4 linked regions of the Drosophila melanogaster genome follow. The protein of the gene in region 4 purifies or fractionates together with the protein of the main gene of each other region. This does not show direct contact. Each region holds a gene or a part of one and is shown on either strand. Other genes may lie near its edges.

Evidence for each region.
Region 1: the proteins of Acp65Aa (region 4) and Vajk3 purify together in Drosophila melanogaster (affinity purification with mass spectrometry, with the first as the bait; one large-scale study listed by BioGRID). This does not show direct contact.
Region 2: the proteins of Acp65Aa (region 4) and mol purify together in Drosophila melanogaster (affinity purification with mass spectrometry, with the first as the bait; one large-scale study listed by BioGRID). This does not show direct contact.
Region 3: the proteins of Acp65Aa (region 4) and Vajk2 purify together in Drosophila melanogaster (affinity purification with mass spectrometry, with the first as the bait; one large-scale study listed by BioGRID). This does not show direct contact.

Annotation. Positions count from the first base shown.
Region 1 is NT_033779.5:13,944,256-13,949,000, forward strand, and holds Vajk3 (Vajk3), read right to left. Parts: upstream 3,222-4,745; 5' UTR 3,143-3,221; intron 2,873-3,142; 5' UTR 2,846-2,872; coding exon 2,834-2,845; intron 1,796-2,833; coding exon 974-1,795; 3' UTR 501-973; downstream 1-500.
Region 2 is NT_033779.5:14,993,991-15,000,312, reverse strand, and holds the start of mol (moladietz), read left to right. Parts: upstream 1-2,753; 5' UTR 2,754-2,797; exon of another isoform or gene 2,798-3,599; intron 3,600-6,277; 5' UTR 6,278-6,322.
Region 3 is NT_033779.5:13,932,059-13,936,465, forward strand, and holds Vajk2 (Vajk2), read right to left. Parts: upstream 2,635-4,407; 5' UTR 2,552-2,634; coding exon 2,540-2,551; intron 1,739-2,539; coding exon 938-1,738; 3' UTR 501-937; downstream 1-500.
Region 4 is NT_037436.4:6,151,030-6,155,552, forward strand, and holds Acp65Aa (adult cuticle protein 65Aa), read right to left. Parts: upstream 1,717-4,523; 5' UTR 1,651-1,716; coding exon 1,639-1,650; intron 1,558-1,638; coding exon 1,252-1,557; 3' UTR 1,021-1,251; downstream 1-1,020. Other genes in the region: Lcp65Aa, read left to right, coding at 304-612.

The sequences.
Region 1 (4,745 bases), on a different chromosome or scaffold from region 4:
TCATGTCATCTCAGCTGACTGACTGGTGAGAGGATTTTCGGGTTTAAGGATCAGGAAGGCGTCAAGACATCTGTTTTTATTGTGACTGAGTATTATTGATTTATTACAACTTAAGCTGTACTTAATTACAGGTATGCATAATTCGCATCTCTTGGCTTGAAATAATTACTGGTATCCTACTTGTTACCTTGCAAGATTAAAGGGTCTTCGTATAACTTTTTATTAAAGTGATCGGAACATAAAGTTTTTGAACCATTCCGTCTATTTAATAAATATTATTAGAGAGCTGTAAATATTCCAGAAAATGATCCTCAAAAAGTCTAGTAAAAATACATTTTTTAAATATTATTTATGTTGAGTAGCCACCAAATCAAAAACGACAGCTGTTTAATAACAACATACTCTTTATTTACAAAATATATTTACAAGATATACAATTACAAAGAACCCTATGACAAACTATTTCCAGCAGCTAACCAGTGATAAAGACAGTGAAATTTATTTTATACATTTTATTTTATTTGTCCTTAATAGATTTTCACATAGATATTTCTGTTCTTATTATCCATTCAATTCATTGTGCGCCGAAACCTTTCACTGATAAACTTGGCCAGCTAAACTGTTCATAAATGGCGAAATTTACAAACAGTTAGCTGGTATTTATCCTAAACCTGGAGTTCTTGGCCCAGCACAATGGCTTCCATTGGATGGCTGGATTGGAAATAATTTACAAAAGGCATTGCTTGTTTCATCTTGGGGGTTCTTATCAGCTACAGAGAGTGTGGCAGGGCGGAAGTTTGACTTCCAGGGGGTATTTTAAGAGTTTGCTTCTGCGCTCGGTTTTGGAAAGGAAGGCCGACAGGTGGAGAGAGTGGGGAAGATAATTGAAAATGTTGCTAGATATCCTTCGGCTCATTTCCATTAAGTCCGCTCGCTCCAATAGATTCGCCTGCTTCCGGTCCATTCCGTCCGCTTACTTGTGGTAACCATGGTGGTCGGAGTAGACGGTGGCATCGTGGCCAATGGCGCTAACAGGGTAGCTGCTGACGGCAACGGTGGGTGCGTGCTTGACCACGGAGTGGGACACCACGGGCACCTTCACGTAGACGGGGTAGGGACGATCCACATGCACGGGCACCTGGACATTGACGGCCTTCTCCACGTAGACAGGGTAGGGCTTGGCCACTGGCACGGGGTAGGGCCTGGGCACCTCAACGGGCACTGGGCGATCGACGGGCACATGGACGGGCACCTTCTCGTGACGGATCACTTCGTAGGGCTGGGGCACTGGCACGGGCACCTTGACGTACTCCTTAACGGTCACGGGCACCTTGCGGATGACTTCGTAGGGCTGGGGCACGGGCACCTTAACTTCGACGGGCACGCGCTTCTCATGGACGACGGGATAGGGGCGGTCCACATGCACGGGCACTGGGATTCCCTTGGTGATGGTGATGGTCTTGTGCACATCGGCCTGCTTGCTGATCACATAGGGGGCGGGAGCGTGGTGGACAGCGACGGCGGGAGCAGTGTGTCCAACGGCGATCGCGGGACCACTGTGGCCCACGGCGACGGCAGCGGGTGCGGAGTATCCGGTCAGTCCGTAGCCATGTCCGTAGCTTCCGTGGCCGGAGATGGAACCATGTCCCAGGTAGCCGGTGTCCAGACCAGCATGACCGTAGCCGTAGCCCAGATCGAGCAGGCCGCGCTTGTCCAGCTTCTTCTCCAGCGGCACCTTCTCACCCTCGGTTTTGCTGGCGCAGGCGGAGGCCACCAGCAGAGCGGCTAAGCAGATCTGCAAAGAATTGAGTTGGTGCGATTGGTTATGAAACTATGCATTTTAGAGACTTTTAAATAATAATAATATATTAATTTTCTAGCAAAATTCTAGATATTTGTGATTTCTTAATAGTTTATTTCACAATAACTAAGTTAGTAAGTAGAACTTGATTCCTTGCAAATATAGTTTAAATCTATTTCAAAATGAAATGAAATAAAATTTAGTCATACTATCTTCGAATTCTCAACTGTGCAAACTCATCTATCATGAAATTCGTATAGTCTATTCTTTAAGTATTTGAAGCTTCTCTATGATAAAACAATTCAAGATATGCAACCTACATAAATTGCCTAACGAAAACGTTGACTTTTATCACCCATTGCCTAGTTTGATCGATTACCTAATCGCAATAGAAAGCGAAGGCGATAGGCGATATGTGGCCCGATTCGCATTGTGTCGTCCGTTGTCTCATCGCCCTCTTTCGCGATTCAAATGGTCAAGTGAAATTTGTGCGTGCCTGGCATAAATGATGCAGTGCAGTCATCGCCCACTGCCACGCCCAGTTTCCGCAATACGCCTCAACCGACTGGCGTCACGTTACGCATACGCAGTGGGCAACTCAGCGAATGCATTTGGAGCTGGCTTTAATTGAGCACATGAACCCAGTTGATTACGGCCTGGTAATAAACGTGGCTGGCACTCCAATTATGATCGTTCAGTTAATAAACGCTTATTAGCCATGTCGTTCAAGTTGAATTTGGTCGTTTGCGAGCATTTCACCTTTGATTAAGGAAATTTATCGGATTGAATTGTTTCAGGAAGTTGTTTGTTGTTGAAGATGGCCAGGTAAACAATGTGAGGCATTTGCAATGCAAAAGGCTATATTGTTCCAATTAGTTCATGTCAGCATTGTTCTGTATGCAATTCTTTGAATTATTACTTGATTTCTCACACTAAAATATGCTACCAACAGCGATAGTTCACATACTCGTACCCATTTACATATCAAACTAAATTCTATATGTCTAATTACTATATGTCTGTTGTACTTACGAATACTTTCATTGTGGAGTCTAATGGGACTTGCCAAGGCTGTAAGTAAACAAAGAAAACAATAAGATTATTTATACGAAATGCAGCATAGATATTTTTTTTTTTATAAGATCAGCACTTTAATTGGTATTAACAATCTGTTCTTTGGGAAAATGTTCCTTGGAAAATTGAAGTTATTTAGAGCACACGGCTCGCACAGTTATTAGTTTATAACTTTTAGATCACAGCTTAAACTTTATTTCCGTTTCACATAGACTACACGCATTTTAGAAACAAACAAAAATTAACTTGGCATTTGGCTTCACTTACAAGCAACTCAGTAACAGCGAAATAGACTGTGGAAGGATTGTAGAATCACTAGCGATTCCAAACCTTTGACTGGATGCTGTCTGTGGTCAGTGGCGCGCTTTTATACCCCCAAAGAGTTTTTGTGTCAAAACGAAACTGAAAACACCGCCAAACCAAGTCGCTCAGCGGTTTCCAAAAGCTTTTCCCACCACAAACCAGCCTAATTGCTCTCTTCAAAGCTCTGAGTTCGGCTTGGTTTGCGCTTGTATTGGTTATATTTGTGTGTATTAGTGCGGCACGGAAAGTTGCAAGCGGAAGCGCTCACCAATACACTGGCATGCCACCAATACTCACGCAATTGCGGCTTTTCTCTGTGTGTATTGGTGACTTTAGCCGCCAACTTGAAAGTGGCTTATAAAATATGGGTGCAAATGTGATCAAATCAATTTGGGAACATAAAAAGCAAATAAAATAAATTAACTAAATCTTGAATTGAAATTTATATTGGGAAAATCCCGCAGAACGTACTAGCAATCCTTTCTTGTTTTTTTTTTGTTTTATTTGGATAAAAAGTCTTCGGGCTTCTTAGCAAGTTGTTCCCAAAAATATAGATTTCAACGAAAGGTCATATGTCTATCAAAGTCGTTATGTTTTGTTTGTCAAGTTTCAGAAGTCAGCAGTTTTGGTCGAACCTGATTCCTAATATCAATAATTCTGAGTCTACCTAATGGAAATTCAACTAGATTTTGTTTTGATTCCATTAATTAAAAAAAAAAAAAAACTTGCTTATTAGTATCATATTTATACGTTCGGCTCGCATTTTAAACAAAGGGTCTATAAATCTGGAATTGTTCAAAGGGGTAATCTGGTTTTAATCTTGTATAATTTCAATATAAAATTTATTTCGAAACATTTTGTGGCCCAATAAACAAAAGTGTAACAAAGCAATTTCTTTCATTTGAGTTTAATAAATCTCAAATTCACTTAGCAGATCTAATATCGTAGAACTTGATTTAACGGTAACTTGATTTATAACTTAATTAATGTTTCTTATAATTTTGTATGCATTTGGCGAACCGAATGTTTTCCGGATTTTAGTATTTAATTTTTAACCGGATTCAGATCTTTTAAAAATGGCAATTAATTACATTAAACTTTGATTTTGTAATTGATATTGTAGTAAGCAACATTTATCAAAGTTCACTGTACTTGTAACCAGTTACTTGCTTTATATCAGTATACATTGTTGCAAGATAGTAATTTGAGTGTGATGTCTCAATTTCTATTGCTGTCATAATTAGGCTTTCTGGTTTTCTTGCCACCTTTGGGGTACTCGGGTTACCATTTTGCACTTCCTGCAACAACCAGGTAAAAACGGAAGCTGCCTCTCTGGAATTTCTCGGCATCTTTGATGTCATTGACAATGGTTTAGTGATCACCGGGCGGAAAAAATAGATACTATCTGCGATTGGGGGTGGTGAAAAGTGATGCAACAGATGCGGTGCATAACCGTGGGCTGCGAATCTCAAGTTTCGCACTCGAAATCGATTATCGGAACGCTGGGTGTGGGATTGTGGAGTGGAATACCAACGGGGATTGCAAATGGATCTGTGACTGGAACAGT
Region 2 (6,322 bases), on a different chromosome or scaffold from region 4:
AGTGACGCATAGTTCGCTTCACTCGGGTAAACCTTTTGGAGCGTGAAATAAACATATTATTTTATCACTCAATTAATAATAATACAAAATACAGAAAATCTTAAGCCGTTTGCAACATTTTACTAATCATAGCTTATTCATAAGCCCTGCAAATCCAGTAAGTTATTATAATTTTTAAAAGCAATCTGCTTATTTGCCATCGCAAGCACTGCGGCTTCCATTAAGCCCATTATAATTATACTACAATTACCATTCCATCGACAGACAACAATCTCCCATCGCAGCACATTTAATGCACTATCATCGCACTGAACGGCAAAATCGAGAAGACCTTGAACTTGAGACGATTGCAAAGTAACTCCGAGAGCATCAGCACTCGCTTTATTTCCATTATAATTTTCCATTACACTGCCCTTTCCCTTTTTTTTTCGTGGTATAAACCTGGGGATATTTTGTATCTGCTTTTTTTTTTCTTCTTTTTGCCGCTGACAGCTGGCAGTTGAGTTATGAATGCTTTTAGTGGAGGTTCGCCGAAACTGAGTCAGTCGAGCAGTTCCAAAATCGGCAATAACAGAAACAATGTCCAACCGAAAGTGACCGCCGCGTGGTTTGCATTCCTGATATGGGACACGTACGGTGTCCGTCGTTTTTTTTTGTGGTCTACTTCGTCGGCGATTCTGTGGCCCCAGGGACCAACGACCGTCCTCGGTCTGGGCGCGCCAAATCCGTAGGCATCGCGACACATCCGGATTTTGTGTCTGTTTTTTATATTTTCATTTAAGTCTTAAACGGTAGCCGCATTATGCGTAGCTCAGAAGTTATCTCCTCTTGTCGAGTGATTAATTTTAATTTTTTTTTTTCGCTTTTATTGCTGAATAATTTTTATTTACTGCTTGCAATCGATAAATTTTTGTTGTTCGAAAAAGGGCATTTCATGTTGGCCATTCCCGTGCGGCCTGCAGTCGTTGACCGCTTTGAACTGACCTTGCCGCGCGAATTTTCGTTAATTTCAACTTTGTGGTCACCGCTTTGCTGCACTGGTCCGGGATGCTGTTGTTTATGTTTTTCAGACTTTTCTGGTTTTTATCGCCCATCAAGGTGATAGGTTTGCATATAAATGACGCTAGAACAAAAGACTTTGGCGACGAACTCGTGGTGACTAAACATGTGTACGAATTCACTGTGAGAGCAGTCAAAAGAATTGGTTTGCCCCAAGATATTTATTTTAATGGGAATGAATCATTGGACTGCGTAGCGGAAGTTTATTCGTAGCTAGGGAATCGATTATGATGAAGTCCGTTTGCCAATAAGCAAAAAAAAAAAACTAAACACCAGTTTTAAAAACCTTTTTCGAAGCATTTTTAACATAAAGTAAATATTTCAGTAGTTTAGATACTTCCTTTATAAATTGCATGCTGTAAAAATAGTTATACGACTTTAGAAGTTTTTCAGCCAGCTTTAAGCACCACATTTTTTTCCAAACACAGAATAATACTTTTTTAAATCCAAAGACTAAGTACATCGGCTAAACTCTAGAGAGCCTTACGTATAATGAATTACTGATTTTACAGCAATATTTACATTTTTGTTTATGTATGTTTTTATGGCTAATTTTGCACATCATAAAAGATTCACTACTAAGGCAAAGACAACAAGATCTAGCATACTGCGGCTGAAAAGTGGCTTTGGCGTCGACCAGCCAAATTTGCAACTGTCGAGATTCACAAGTCGGATGGATTGACTGGACATAAACAGAGATCACGGAGGCTAACTTGGTGATTTGGCTTGGCGTTGGTGCGTGGCACGGTAGTCGCTAGTAAAAATTCAATTAGCAAATTAAATATTAATTACCAGACGGGTCTCTATGCTAATTGAATTAGCAATAGTAGCAGCTGGCAAATAACTAAATAAAGGAAAAAGTATTGGGGGTTTTTAAGTTGGAATGCTGCGAAGATGGAGTTTTTGAGGATTCGTTTTAATATTATCCAATATTTGGCACCTATTTTTTCTGACATAATTGTTTAAATTAAAGAATGTTGTATGAAAAGTGGAAATTGCAATTTAAAATTTGAAATTTTGATATTATAACGATTGCATTTTTGATTATACAATGCAATTACGTTTCATTAAGTTTTATTTTGGTTTAATAATAAATGTCTCATTTTAACATACTACCTTATAAATAAATCTTTTGTTTTTATGTCCAGTAATGCATTATACATTAATATTTTAAGTGGGCCTTAATTTATATCAACCAAATTAAAATGTCAGATGATAAAATTACGTTTGAGAGTTTTATTTTGTTTCCTTTTTTGTAACAATGCAAGTTCTAATATTTTCGGAGCACAGCTGTTTATACTAATATTATTTCTCCTCGTGACAGGTGCCAATGCTATTCTCGCCCGGCTGATTAAAGTATATAATTTGCCGCTCGGCTGTGAATTTAGTGTGAGGCCAGGCCCAAGATGAACCAGTTTGCGGTTGGAAAGTGTGGCAGCCTAGAGTCGGACAAGGTCCCTGATCAGGAATAGCCCTGGCGATATAGCCCAAGTTCCCTGTCGGATTTTTTGATATTTTTTATTTTAATAATTTTTTTTTTGATTTTCTGACTTTCCGACATGACTGCTTCATAAATTCACACTCACTTAAGCCTGCAATTAGCGGTCGAGCAAAAAGCTCCCATCGCTTTGGAGCTTTGGCGCTCTGTTGCTCTCTTTTGGGAAGGTTTTGTCTTTTGCTCACCGCTCTCGGCGTTCAGTTGATCGACGGCAAGCTCTCGAAACGGACGCAGATTTTTGTAAGTCGCCGCCGCGCCTGCGCATTTTAAATCAGTTGCAACAAAAAAACAACGAGAGGCAGCGAAGACGAAATCGAATTGTGTTTTTATTTGTTTGCTTTTGTTTTGTCTGTGTGTTATGCCATGCACAAAACCACCGTGTTCGTAAAAGTGGAGAAAAATCAAAAATCGAAAATTCAAGCCGAAATAAGTTTGCCAAAACAAAAAGAAACCGCAAAAGCCGCGTTATAATAACGCAAATAACGGTATTAAGTTTGAAGCTCATCTAGTTATTTATGCTTTGCTCCTCGTGGTTGTCTGCAAAAATAAAACAAAAAAGCTTAAAACAAACAACAGTGTCGAAAAACCTTAACAATTTGCGCGCACATAAAATATAATTAAAGCCAGCAAATTTTTGCCTTAAACATAAAAAAGTTAATCAACTTGGTTGCAATTAAATGTTGCAATTTATTTTTTTGCAACTAAAGTGCGAAATATTCAGTGCAATACAATAACAAAAATAAATAAGTTTCTCTGAAGCAATACAAATAAAAGTTTCTCTGTAGAAATATAAATAAAAAAATACCAAAATCCATATTATCAAAAATTCAATAAGATATGTAAATAAATAGTTTGGTATACTCAAGCAAAAATAGAATGCTGAACAATGGATAATAAATTATTTATTTTTTTGGGTAACAAACTGATTGCCGAGACTTAAAAGACACCGAGAACTAAAAATAAAATATGATAGATCAAACAAAAAAATTCCCAAACATCTAAAGAGGGAGTCCGCCATTCCTCAAACGTATGTGTGATGGGTGTATGTGTGGGTGGGAGCGGGAAAATTGTGTTGGTAATTTCTAATGCACATTTTCCCTTTAGTATTACCCAACACAATGTTTTATTACCCTTACAGGAGTAACAGGAGTAACTAAACCTTTGATATTTCGATATTTATTAAAACATGAAAAAGAAAATTGATTATAACAACTTCCAGCAATTTTAAACCTTTTTTTTGTATTTTCCGCGAAAGCGTACATAAAGAGCGTATTTTTTTTAATACCCCTTCCTTTTACTGTATTTTCCTGCCTGCCCTTTTAGTTGTCGTTGAATTTGTATGACGTGTGTGCATCAGGTTGATTTTTGTGATGCGTTTTGCCTATGTAATTTCCATGTCAGGCGTTGGGATTACTTCATCTCCCGTTTCATTTCCTATATGGCCAGATGATTCAAACCAAACTGACCAGCGCAAAAATGAAAACAAAAACTACTGCTACAAAAAAACTAAAAAAAAAAGTTGCACGAAAAAGCCGGTTGAAGGCAACTCTTACATATTTACACGCACCAGCGCTCATTGAACACACGCCGCCAGCAGCAACAACAAAGCTAGCACGGGAAAAAATTGTTTTAAACAGTTACTAATATTTTTATTAATATATTAGTAAGGATTATATTGATAAATAACAGTACTACAAAAAGTAATATCAAGATATTCATAATATTCATATATGACATAAATCATACAATTCCGAGTAATTATTTTCTCTCACTGCATTACAGCAACAGCAACAAAAGCAATATCAACAGGGCGACACAGAAACCTGTTGTTGTAGCTCTTGGTGCCTCTCTTGCTGTCTCTGTCTCGTCAAAAGACATTTGCAGAGTTTCCAGCTGCGTGTTGATTATGTCAATTTCATGTTTACTTCATTTCCTCAATCCACCGGCAAAGGTGTTAGAGAGAGGGGTATAGTGGGCGGAAAGGGGTGCGCCAGCAATTTCACTTTCGTTGGACTTGAAAATAAAAGCTGCAGTCTCTGTGGCAGTGTGAGCGAGTGCGAGAGAGAGAGAGAGAGAGAGATTATTGGAGCAAGATGGAAGGAGGTTGGAGCTTGGGAAAGAGAGCAAGTGAGAGTGAGAGTGCGCACAGCAAGTGTGCTGCATACGGTACTTGGATGCTGGTGCTGCTGATGCCTCACTTGCTTTGTGGGGCGTTGCTGCACCGTGGGTTATTGCTATTTAATGTTCTTGAGCATAAAATTGTGGATCGTGACTTTGGGCTCAGCAAATAATTCGTTTCACTAATCCGTATTGTTTCATATATAATATATTTTAAAAACCAGGTGACTAGTCACAATAACTAACTAACTGACTAGTTACAATAAAAGTTTTACCCAATTTTTTCAGATATTATGATGAAATCTTAAAAGAAGTGATACCAATTAGAATGGCTAAGCTCTGAGATATTTGAAGATTATTATTATTATTTTTGTTTATGAATTGTTATACTCTCAGTTTTCATATTTGCTTGAAAAGTTAGTTTGTTGATGTTTTAAGAACAATTATATGAATTTTGCAATGTTCATACGTCAATATAAGGATTATTATGTTACCATCCTTTTAATAACTGTACCACTGTGCGCCGGCGTCTTTTGTGTGCTACTCGTCGCATATTTTCCGTTTCGTTTTGTAACTGTAATGTCTGTTTTTCCCATTGTCCGATTGTTGCTGGTTGTCGCTTTTGTTTTGCGCTTATAACGTAATAACGTAATGTGCTCGAAGATTTCCACATGCGATGCGTCGCACCTTACGTTTTGGTGCCAAGTCCATCGCCGACGTCGACGTTCATTGTTTTTGCAGGCAATTGAGCCAATAAACTGACGCGAATCGTAGCGACTTACAAATTCCTGTCCGAAAAATATGCGAAGGTCAACCAGAGGGGCAGCACCAACAACCACAACGATATCGAATCCATAACAAAATAGTTGAGAACTCCCGCAAGTGGAGTTTCATACGAGTATGTTTGGTATTCGCACCTTCAAACATGATTTCACGGACTGTCAGCTTGGCAAAAATTCTAATTATAAATGAAACAATTTATTACCGGGTTTTTAAAATAAAATGCAATTTATGTGCAAAGTCTGGCGGCGGCGGCGGACTTGACTAGTTAAACCGGTTGACTGCCAGCAGCAGCAGCAGCAATGAAAAAAAATGGAAAAAGAACCATTGACTCAATGGGGGTGCAGTCAGCAACAGCAAATTGCAACTGCAAGGAAAACATTTTTCTTAAATATACGGAATTAATTAATAGAAGTTAAACAAAGGATAATTTCTTTAATAAATTCTAAACATTTATTTATTACGGCAGTGGTGAATTCGACAAAAAAAATTATAATTTAACCAAATGTATTTATTTGAAATCTATAAATTACATCTATATAATAAAACAAAAGCTTCGTTATATAACTCAGCAATAAATCTACTAAGTGCAATGTATAAAAAATCCTAATGAACATGTAGTTCAAAAATAACTCTAATAAATTTATCTCGAATAAATCAAACCGTTTAAAATCAAATAATTGAATACATGTTCACAGCTGTGAAAACAAGAATATTTTCGGCAAAATATTTCAACAAGCATAACCGATGTGTGTGTAAAATTTGTGCCTGTCTATATTATTTAATTCATTAATCATAAATGCAAATTTCTTGATTGTTTAGATACGTCTTAACGGCTAACTCGAAGCTATAAATTGGACATCAAAA
Region 3 (4,407 bases), on a different chromosome or scaffold from region 4:
GGCCTACTCACTAAATTTACAGTTTTAAAAACATTGTTTGCGAACAATTACTTGACGCACTGTAATGCAATTCAGAATAATTCCCAAAATTTATAATAAATAAATAAATCATTGCATAGTTGTGGGAATATCCTTTGACTAAAATAAGCTGTATTAATCCACTTAAGAGTAACTCCACACCCCCTCATAAAAATTAATAAATATCCATAAATATATAATATATATATATATTATATATAAATATATAATATGTAAATATATAATATGTAGTCCTTTATGGCTACGTTTTAACTTGACAGATATATAACTTCTGTAAAAAAATGTATTTATTCCAAAATAGCAATGCAGCAATACAAATTAAGCTTTCAGCTTAAACAAAAGGCTCATTAAGTGAAAATACCCTATATACCTTAAAAATATCCTATCGAACTTCTATCTTTTTTTTTTTTAATGGAAAGCCCAGTATTTCTGAAAGTACAAGTCTTAAGTTTTTTTTTTTTAATTTTCGTTTTATTTACATTATTTAAATATGTACAAATATTTCATAGAAAAGAAATTTACGTGAAAAAGTCGAAGGAGCAACTCGTCAGCAGTTATTTCTCTGTGATTGTCTACAAAAGAACTGTACACTCGATGGATTTGGATGCCAGGAGACAGGCACTTTTCAAACGCCCCGGATGGGTTTTGGCAAGCTTTCTATAATGGATTGCGTCAGTTGTGTGATTTTCTCCTGGTTCCGATCCTTCCAGAATTTCGGTTGGTATCACAAACTAAAACTAAATTTGTAAGTCGTACGTTGGCGGTTGCTGGGCGTGGAAAGAGAGGGAGGGGTGCTTGATTCTTAATGTCTGTTGGATACTTTCGACTTGTTGGTTGGTTCGCTCGCCTTCACCCGACTTCACTTCTCGCTTGGCCCTCGACAGCATTGCGATTTCATCTACTTTTTGTGGAGGTAGCCACCGTGGGCGGAGCCGCCGTAGGAGGAGCTGCCGTAGGAGGAGATTCCGTGTCCGGAAATTCCGTATCCGGAGATTCCGTGTCCGGAGTAGCCGTGGCTGATGATGGCAGGAGCAGCGGCAACGGTGTGGGTGACGGCCACGGCGGGCTTGACGTGGCTCTCAACGTGGACAGGCACGGGCACGGCCACCTTGTAGGGCACTGGACGCTCCACATGGACGGGCACCTTGTGGATCACACGCTTCTCGACGGTGTATGGCACGGGCTTCTCCACGGGCACGGGGTATGGCTTGTCGACATGGACGGTGTAGGGACGATCAACTGGGATCTTCACGGGCACACGGATCACCTTCTCGACGGGGTAGGGCTGGGGCACCTCGACGGGCACCTTCACGATCTGCTTGACGGGCACATGGACGATCTTCTCCACGGGGTAGGGCTGGGGCACGGGCACCTTAACGGGATAGGTGACGGTCTTCTCGACGGGGTAGGGAACGTGACGCTCCACCTGGTAGGGCACCTGCACGGTCCTCACCACGGTGTTGGTGTGCACCTGGGTGGGCAGCTCAGCGACAGCGGGAGCCACTGGAACTCCAACACCGATGCCGGATCCCAGAATGGCGCCTCCCGCCGATGGTCCGTATCCGTAGCCCAGACCGTGGCCAATGCCGCGCTTCTCCTGCTTCTTCTCGGCGGGCTCGGCGGTCTCGACGGCCTTCTTGGGTGCCTCCTCACTGGCGTTGGCCACCAGCACGCACATCGCCACAAGGCCGAAAATGAGCTGCAATGACAAGTGGGTTAAATTCGATAGAAACCCAATTGGCTTGGTCGGGCGGTTATGCAACTGCAGCCGCTTCCGGCTCCACCTCCGCCCGATTACTCCATAATTTGGAATATGACAATTATGCAATGTTGGGTGGAAAGTTGGCTGGGCAACCAGCCAAGTTCAATTGTGGCCTAGGCCCCCTGACATATTGGGCATGCGGCGTATACTTAATGTGGCTTGATATTTTCGCAATAATTCGGTTAAAATACAAATTGGAAGAAGGCAAATTCAACTCTTTGTAGTTTCGCGTTCAAAGCTTTTTAATACGAATCTACATTTTTGTTTTCTTTTTTAAATGCTAAAAACATATTCTAGGACTGCCTATCCTTTTCGGGTTAAAATGATCCTTAACACTTTTCGATTTTAGTAATTATGAAATGTGATTTCTTTCAATAAGATTTAAATGTAGAACTGGTAATGGAAAAATTAAATATTTCAATTAGTTTTCTCTCTAAAAATCCTTTCTTAAAACCATGTTCATATTTACTTGGGTAAACCAAAATGCCACAAAAAAGTAACATATCTAGAGACATTTTAGAATATCCGTTCTATCCTTGCTTTTGAAAGAGCTGATGAAGTCGTGCAAAAACCTTTTTAAAAATACTTTAATTGCAACACCGATATGTCTACATTGTTCCATAAATATATATATATATATTCTTTTGCAAGTCACTTTAACTGAATCCGAGTTTTTGAAACACAATTATTCTAAGCAGCACTTCGAAGGAGAACACACTGAGCTCAGACCGAACATACCATGGATTTCATTTTGCACTAGGTTAGCTCCTCAACACTTTGCGATCAAGATGGGCTTGTATGTCTCAACCAACCCGCAACAGTTAACTGAATAATTTCGCACAGACGCAGCGAGCTTTTATATGGCCGATGCTGTGGCGGGATTGTCTTCAGCCGCGGCTGCGCAGTCGACGTGAATCGAGATCGCAGCAGCCGTGTTGAAAAAGCTCGCTCTCCATCCGTTCGACAGCTCCTCTCTCTCTTGGCCAACTGTCCGTGTGAGCCCGTGGCCCAAAGGAAATGCGTCAGCAAGCGAGCTTTTTCGAAAGAGGGTGCCTCACACGGACAGTGTCCATGTTGTCCGTGTGATCTGCGCCTGTATGAGTGCGTATCTGTGAACACTCGAGCTCCAACTGTAGCGATCTTTGGGAACTACTGAAAGTATTCAGACACCAAGTAACTGGGGGCACAGTTTAGTAGAAAGAATCGTTTCTTGCCAATAGCCAACATAACAAACATAGCAAATGGGTAATTTCGTTTAATTTTGCCTTAATCTACCAAAGAGATCCAATCAATTCTTTTGGAGAATCGCTCTTAATTGTACAGTTCAAACAATATAGACTTTTTTAATCATATACGTATGAATTTTAATCAACGACTTTAGAGTTTTAGAGTCTCAGAGTTTGTTTCTAGAATATTCGAAAAGTGATAAATTTTGTATTGTTAAAATTTTAGTAAACAGCTTTAAAAGTCCTTAGAAAGTTTATGTAATTTTAGATCGGAGCCCTTCCTCCGACGTCTTTTTGCGCAGTTAGTATTGTTATATGTAGCCATTATTATATTATCATTTTCCCTTTGTACAAATATATCTTATTAATATATTTTTTGTAAAAATCTCACATAAATACATGAAGTGTTAGTGTTTGTTTCCCAGGTAAAATTACATTAATGAACACGACAAATAAAATAAACTACTTGTATTTCTTACCATTTTACATAAATCTTTGGAAATCAACACATTCGAAAAGAACATTAATTATAAACATAATAATTATTCAATTAAAAATTAAATATTAACAAAGTTAAAAATGAACATAAAGAGTTTAAAATTTATGGACCATAAATAAATGAGTAATTTTTGGCTGGTAACGAAACCTTCATAATTATTAAAAAATATATACATTAAAAAAGAGATCACAAATACTTTTCTAATGCATAATTTTGACTAGTCCTTAGTGTTGGGAAATTTTTGCCCCAAAGCCTTGAGCCATTAATAAATAACTGACCGCGAGCACTTCAGTCACATAATCAAATTAGACACAACGGGCAAAGTGTTCCACAGCCATAAGTTAAATTCACATTAGCCACACATTTCCGAAAATTTCAGGTTACAAATCCAGTTGCAGTTGCAGTTGCATATTGAATGTAAATTGCTTGGCTGCAGAAGAAACATGCGCCGCATAGTCTGCTTGATTCTGTGTGGCTTCGTGACTGAACTTTTGATCTCGGATTTGTGTTTGGCTCCGTATTCTTGTTTGCTTCGGTTTTTTTTTCTCAGCTTTTTGGCCAGGCTGAGCGGCGTTTTAAGCCTTGATATGGGTGCATTGATTGAATGCTGTGGCAGTGTGGGTAATTTGACATTTTAATGCTGCAGAGGAAATACTCGCCAATGGCCATGTAAATGGAACGTGTGAACAATGAGTGGACCGCAAAACGCGCACAAAGGAGAACAGATACGGGCACCAAATCATGTTGGTTTTATGTGCATTAATTTAATTGTGGACATAACGCCGCGGACATAATGGCAACCGAGCGTATTAGGCTTTGTAATGTGCAGTTGAAGGCGAAGGTCGCCAGACATCATCGCCATGATCAACACCACGATCATC
Region 4 (4,523 bases):
CAAAATTTAATTTTAATATATTGTAATTGTCTGAAAGGCGTTTGGAGAAAATCTTTAGAGTTTAATTGTTTTACAACTTTATTCCGCTTATTAAAAAATCTTGAATTTTCTTTTTGAGTATTAGATTTTTAATAAATAAATTGAACAGAAGTTCAATTAACACCTGCTGTCCTCAGATCGCGTCGGCTATATAATGTTAACGACTTGTCCCAAAGTGCTAATTGCATAAGCTGTCTTAGCAATCGTATAAAAGACTCCTGCAATCTGGCATTTTGAATATTGAGTAATTTTTGACTATTCAAGATGAAATCCATCCTTGTGCTCGCCTGCCTTTTAAGTGCCCTGTGCCTAGCTGCTGCCGCTCCGGATGCAGAGATTGTTGACCTGGTGTCCGATGTCAATGCCGATAGCTATAGCTACAAATTTGAGACAAGCGATGGCACCAAGCAGGAGCAGCACGGCTCCCTGAAGAGCCTTGGTCCCGAGGAGGATGCCTTGCAGGTGGCCGGATCCTTCAGCTTCGTAGGAGACGACGGACAGACGCATGCCATCAGCTACGTGGCCGATGAGAACGGATTCCAACCCCAGGGCGAGGATATTCCCCACCTATAAATCGGTGTATGATGGTAATTAAAAAGGTCTTCTAGTTGAAAACTAGAAATCAATTGGAAAAACAAGTCATTAAATCGAAATAGGCTCAGAAACCATAATACTGAATAACCTTTTATCGTAGCTCAGTTTAAATAAAGAATAAAACCAATTGTTATGTTCCTTAAAAATATTTTTAAGATTAGTACCTTCGTAAATTTTTTAGATGGAACATCTTGTATATTGATCATTTTGAATCAAAAGAAATAAAAGTGTGAATTTTCATAGCTAAATACGATAAAATAGAAAATAACTCTGGTACTTCGTTATAATTATAAAGGAAAGTTATCTAGTGCAGTTTCATATTTTGAATGACCCTTCCCAGAACTGGTGACTTACTTTATGGGTTCCACAAAGAAAACATATTTTTTTCGAGAATCGAAAGTTCGGCTTTAATGCGAGTAACAAGGAAAATAGAAAACAATGCACGACACTGACTTGACTGACTGATCGACTTACTAACTGACTGACCGATTGGCTGCCACGGGACAAGGGACAGCTCCTCCGGACAGGACCTTAGCACCTCACTGTATGGCTGGTTGGTTGGAATTGTGGGTTCATTCGGGAAGGTGGTATTTACAGGATCTCCTCGAAAGCGGAGGTCTACTTGGGCAGATGGGCACCCTCCGGCTGAAAACCGTTCTCGTCGGCCACAAAGTTAATGGTGTAGGTTTGGCCATCGGGAGCCACCCAGGTGACGGATCCCCGAATGGATATGGATTCGTTGTCGGTGCCCGCGTTGTTGACCACGCCCTCCTCTGTTCGACTGGTGCCATCGCTCAGTTTGTAGCTGAACTTGTAGCCGCCGAGGCCGGTGTTCTCCGATTCGTACTCAAGAACTTCCACATCATTTTGCGGCCGGGCACTGGCCAGGGCCAGGAGAAGGGCTATCGAGCCAACGACTAGCATCTGCAAGGCGGTAAGAGATTAGGTATCCTTTTGCGTATCCTGGTTGGGCATGGTGCGCCTCGTTTATCCAAGTTCACCTACCAATTTCATCATGTTGAGCGGTTCTCGAAATTGCAGATTCTCCTATGCGGCTGGACAAACTGGCAGTTGTCTAATGGTGGCGTTGCATCGGCGTCCACTGCATTTTATACTGCACTCGCGGCTGCATTTGCAAACGTCATAAATTTGCACAATTGTGGAAGAAGCCAAGCAGCTCGCTAGTTCAGCAGCTCTGGCGGTCGCCGGCTAAATGTTTTCCACTATTTCCATTTTGTTTTTGTTTTTTTTGTGCTGTTTTTCAATTGCCAGCGTTGCACCAAAGTCGCCAAAGTCGCTGCGACAAGTAACATTTAAAGCGGCTTTGTGCAGCGGTGTACTCATCCGAAAGGTATTATTGCTCTTCACCCACACTCGAAAAAGCATTCTAAGTTTCAGGGCGATTCTGTGAGAATAGTTATCCACAATCAATATGTCTTCATATTTTTAACAAGAAACCAAACATAAAAATAAGCATGTTAAAACTAATGTAGTTAGAACATAAAAAATATTTATTTAAACCTATAACACTTAATCATTCGAATATCTTTCGTTTTACACCCACACTAAAACCACCTTTCGAAGTTTTAGTGCAACTCATTAAGTACTTAAATCTTAATTGAAATAAACAAAACAATTACTTGAATATAATACCACATTTAAGATGTACTGACATTTTCTGTCAGTGCCGACTGGTAGCTTTAGAAAACTCGAAAAAGTTCATGAATCAAGCAGATGCATTGGGGAAAAGGTTGCGGTTTGATTGGGCAGCTACGGGGAAATACCGGGCCAAGAACTATGGGAAACAATAACCAGAACAGCTCGTCAGATGGGCCCAGATCGAACCGAAATCGACGACATATTGGTGGCCCAAAAGAGACTAAGTTCAAGTGCTGTCGCCGCCAATTGGCAGGGCAGCAAGTTCAAGCCGCGGACACGAAGAACACGAGCTGAGCCATGTGTGATGGCCAAAGTGCACGATGGATGAGGCTGTGGATGGAGATGGAACCGCAGGTTGACTTTTGGCATATGCAACGGCCTTTACAGCGCTCGATTGATGTGCCTGCCCGGTAACAAGAGCCAAAAGCAGTTGGAAATATATATAAAAAATACATCGAATAACCTACAACTACGGCTCGCATGCAATTTAAATCTCTGACTCTTGCTTTTTGTTGTACTTTTAGCATTTTTTTTTTAATTTAGTTTTTAAGTCGCCGTCGCCGGTGCTTGCCAATTTATGCCACCTTCGTTGACCGCTAGCAGGCCGATGAAGAAGCCCCAGCAGCGGATCTTTCAAGCCGGTCAGTCGGGTTTTAACTTTGGTTATCGGTCGGCCTCTGGTCAACCACGGTTCTGCCCCAGCCTCCTCCTCCACTTGAATTGAATTGTGCCAATTGTGACTTAATGTCTGACCCATCGACAGGGTGTTGTGCACTGATACTGGCATTTCCTCAAATGTCGTTGAAAATCACATCATTTTGGTTGATTTTTTGGCAGCTGCAATTTGGCATTTTGCCATTCTTAACTTGCTCGTTAAAAATCATGGAATTGGTGACATCCGAGGAATGTTATCAATCAAATAATATTGTCCATATAACATGTAAAGAACGCATCAAATAAGCAAAGCGTCTTTGCAATCAAAAGCAAAAGCAGACTCAACAAATTTCTGTTGTCATTGTTTATTCAGCAAAATTGCATTACATTAATACAGTGTGAAAATTACTTATTGTTAGTCAAATGTGTAACTATAATTTTCTGATTAGACCGCAAATGGAAAAGTTGTTAATATGTTAATTGAACGAGAAAGACAAGTATATTAAAGAAGAGAAAAAACGATGGGTTTTTGCATGATTGAAATCTTTACAAATAAAATGTCACATGAAACATCAAACTTAAGCGCTTAAGTTTAATACTAAGCAAGTTCATATACAATGTGGTTTCCATGAAATTTCAGCCTGATTTATTTACCCAGTCCGCCTACAAATTGAACTTGAGGGCATTCGGGGCCCTTGAAAATGGATCTGATTCGTGGCTGCATAATATTTATTATTTGGGTCTTTTCCGCAGCTTTTCGAGGGCATCTGCATCGAGCTGCATTTATCATGCTGGCTTTGCATAATTAATCTGGCTGTGATCGATGGCTTCGAGTGCTAATCGGAATGATTGCCTCTGTGCGCGGGGGCGTTGTCTATCTTTGGTTAAAATTCGACAAACTTGGGGCTGTGTTCTTTATTATAGACCGTGATTTACATAACTGTTCTGATCAAATGGCAATCGACAGGTTTTTCAGCTTTGATCTTGTTCGTACTGTCGCTTTCAATACACAAATACCAGATGCCTCATGCCCGATGCCAGACAGAAAGAGCCGGAGATACAATAGATATTTATGTAGATGCGTCTTCACATTTACGTCTTCAAGGTCAGCGCCAAATGCTGCTGCTGCTGTCCGTCTGTCTATCCGTCCGTCCATCCGTCTGAGCAACCATCTGTCCGCCGCCCAGTCAGCTGCCGTTTTGGCCCGGCTTTCGTTCGTTGCCAACTCGCACGCACCTCACTCAAAAGTTGGCCAGACCGGCTTGAACCCGGTCTTTGGGACTCGGCTATGTAGGAATCGAGCTCGGTTTCGGTTTCGTTTTTTTTTTTTAATTGTTTTTTTTTCTTTGTTGCTCGTTTTTGGCTGCCGCATCAACTGGGTCTGCAAAATTAGCACTTGAGCGTTAATGGCAATGTTTTAATAGCATCCCTTGCCTGGCCATCACTTTTTTAATATGTAAATGTCACATTGCCGTTGTTTTTCAATTTCTTTTTATCATTTTAATTGCTTGTTTCGTAATATTTGCATTTAGCTAAAAATACTTCTGCTGACACCTGACATTCAGAATCGTGCGTAC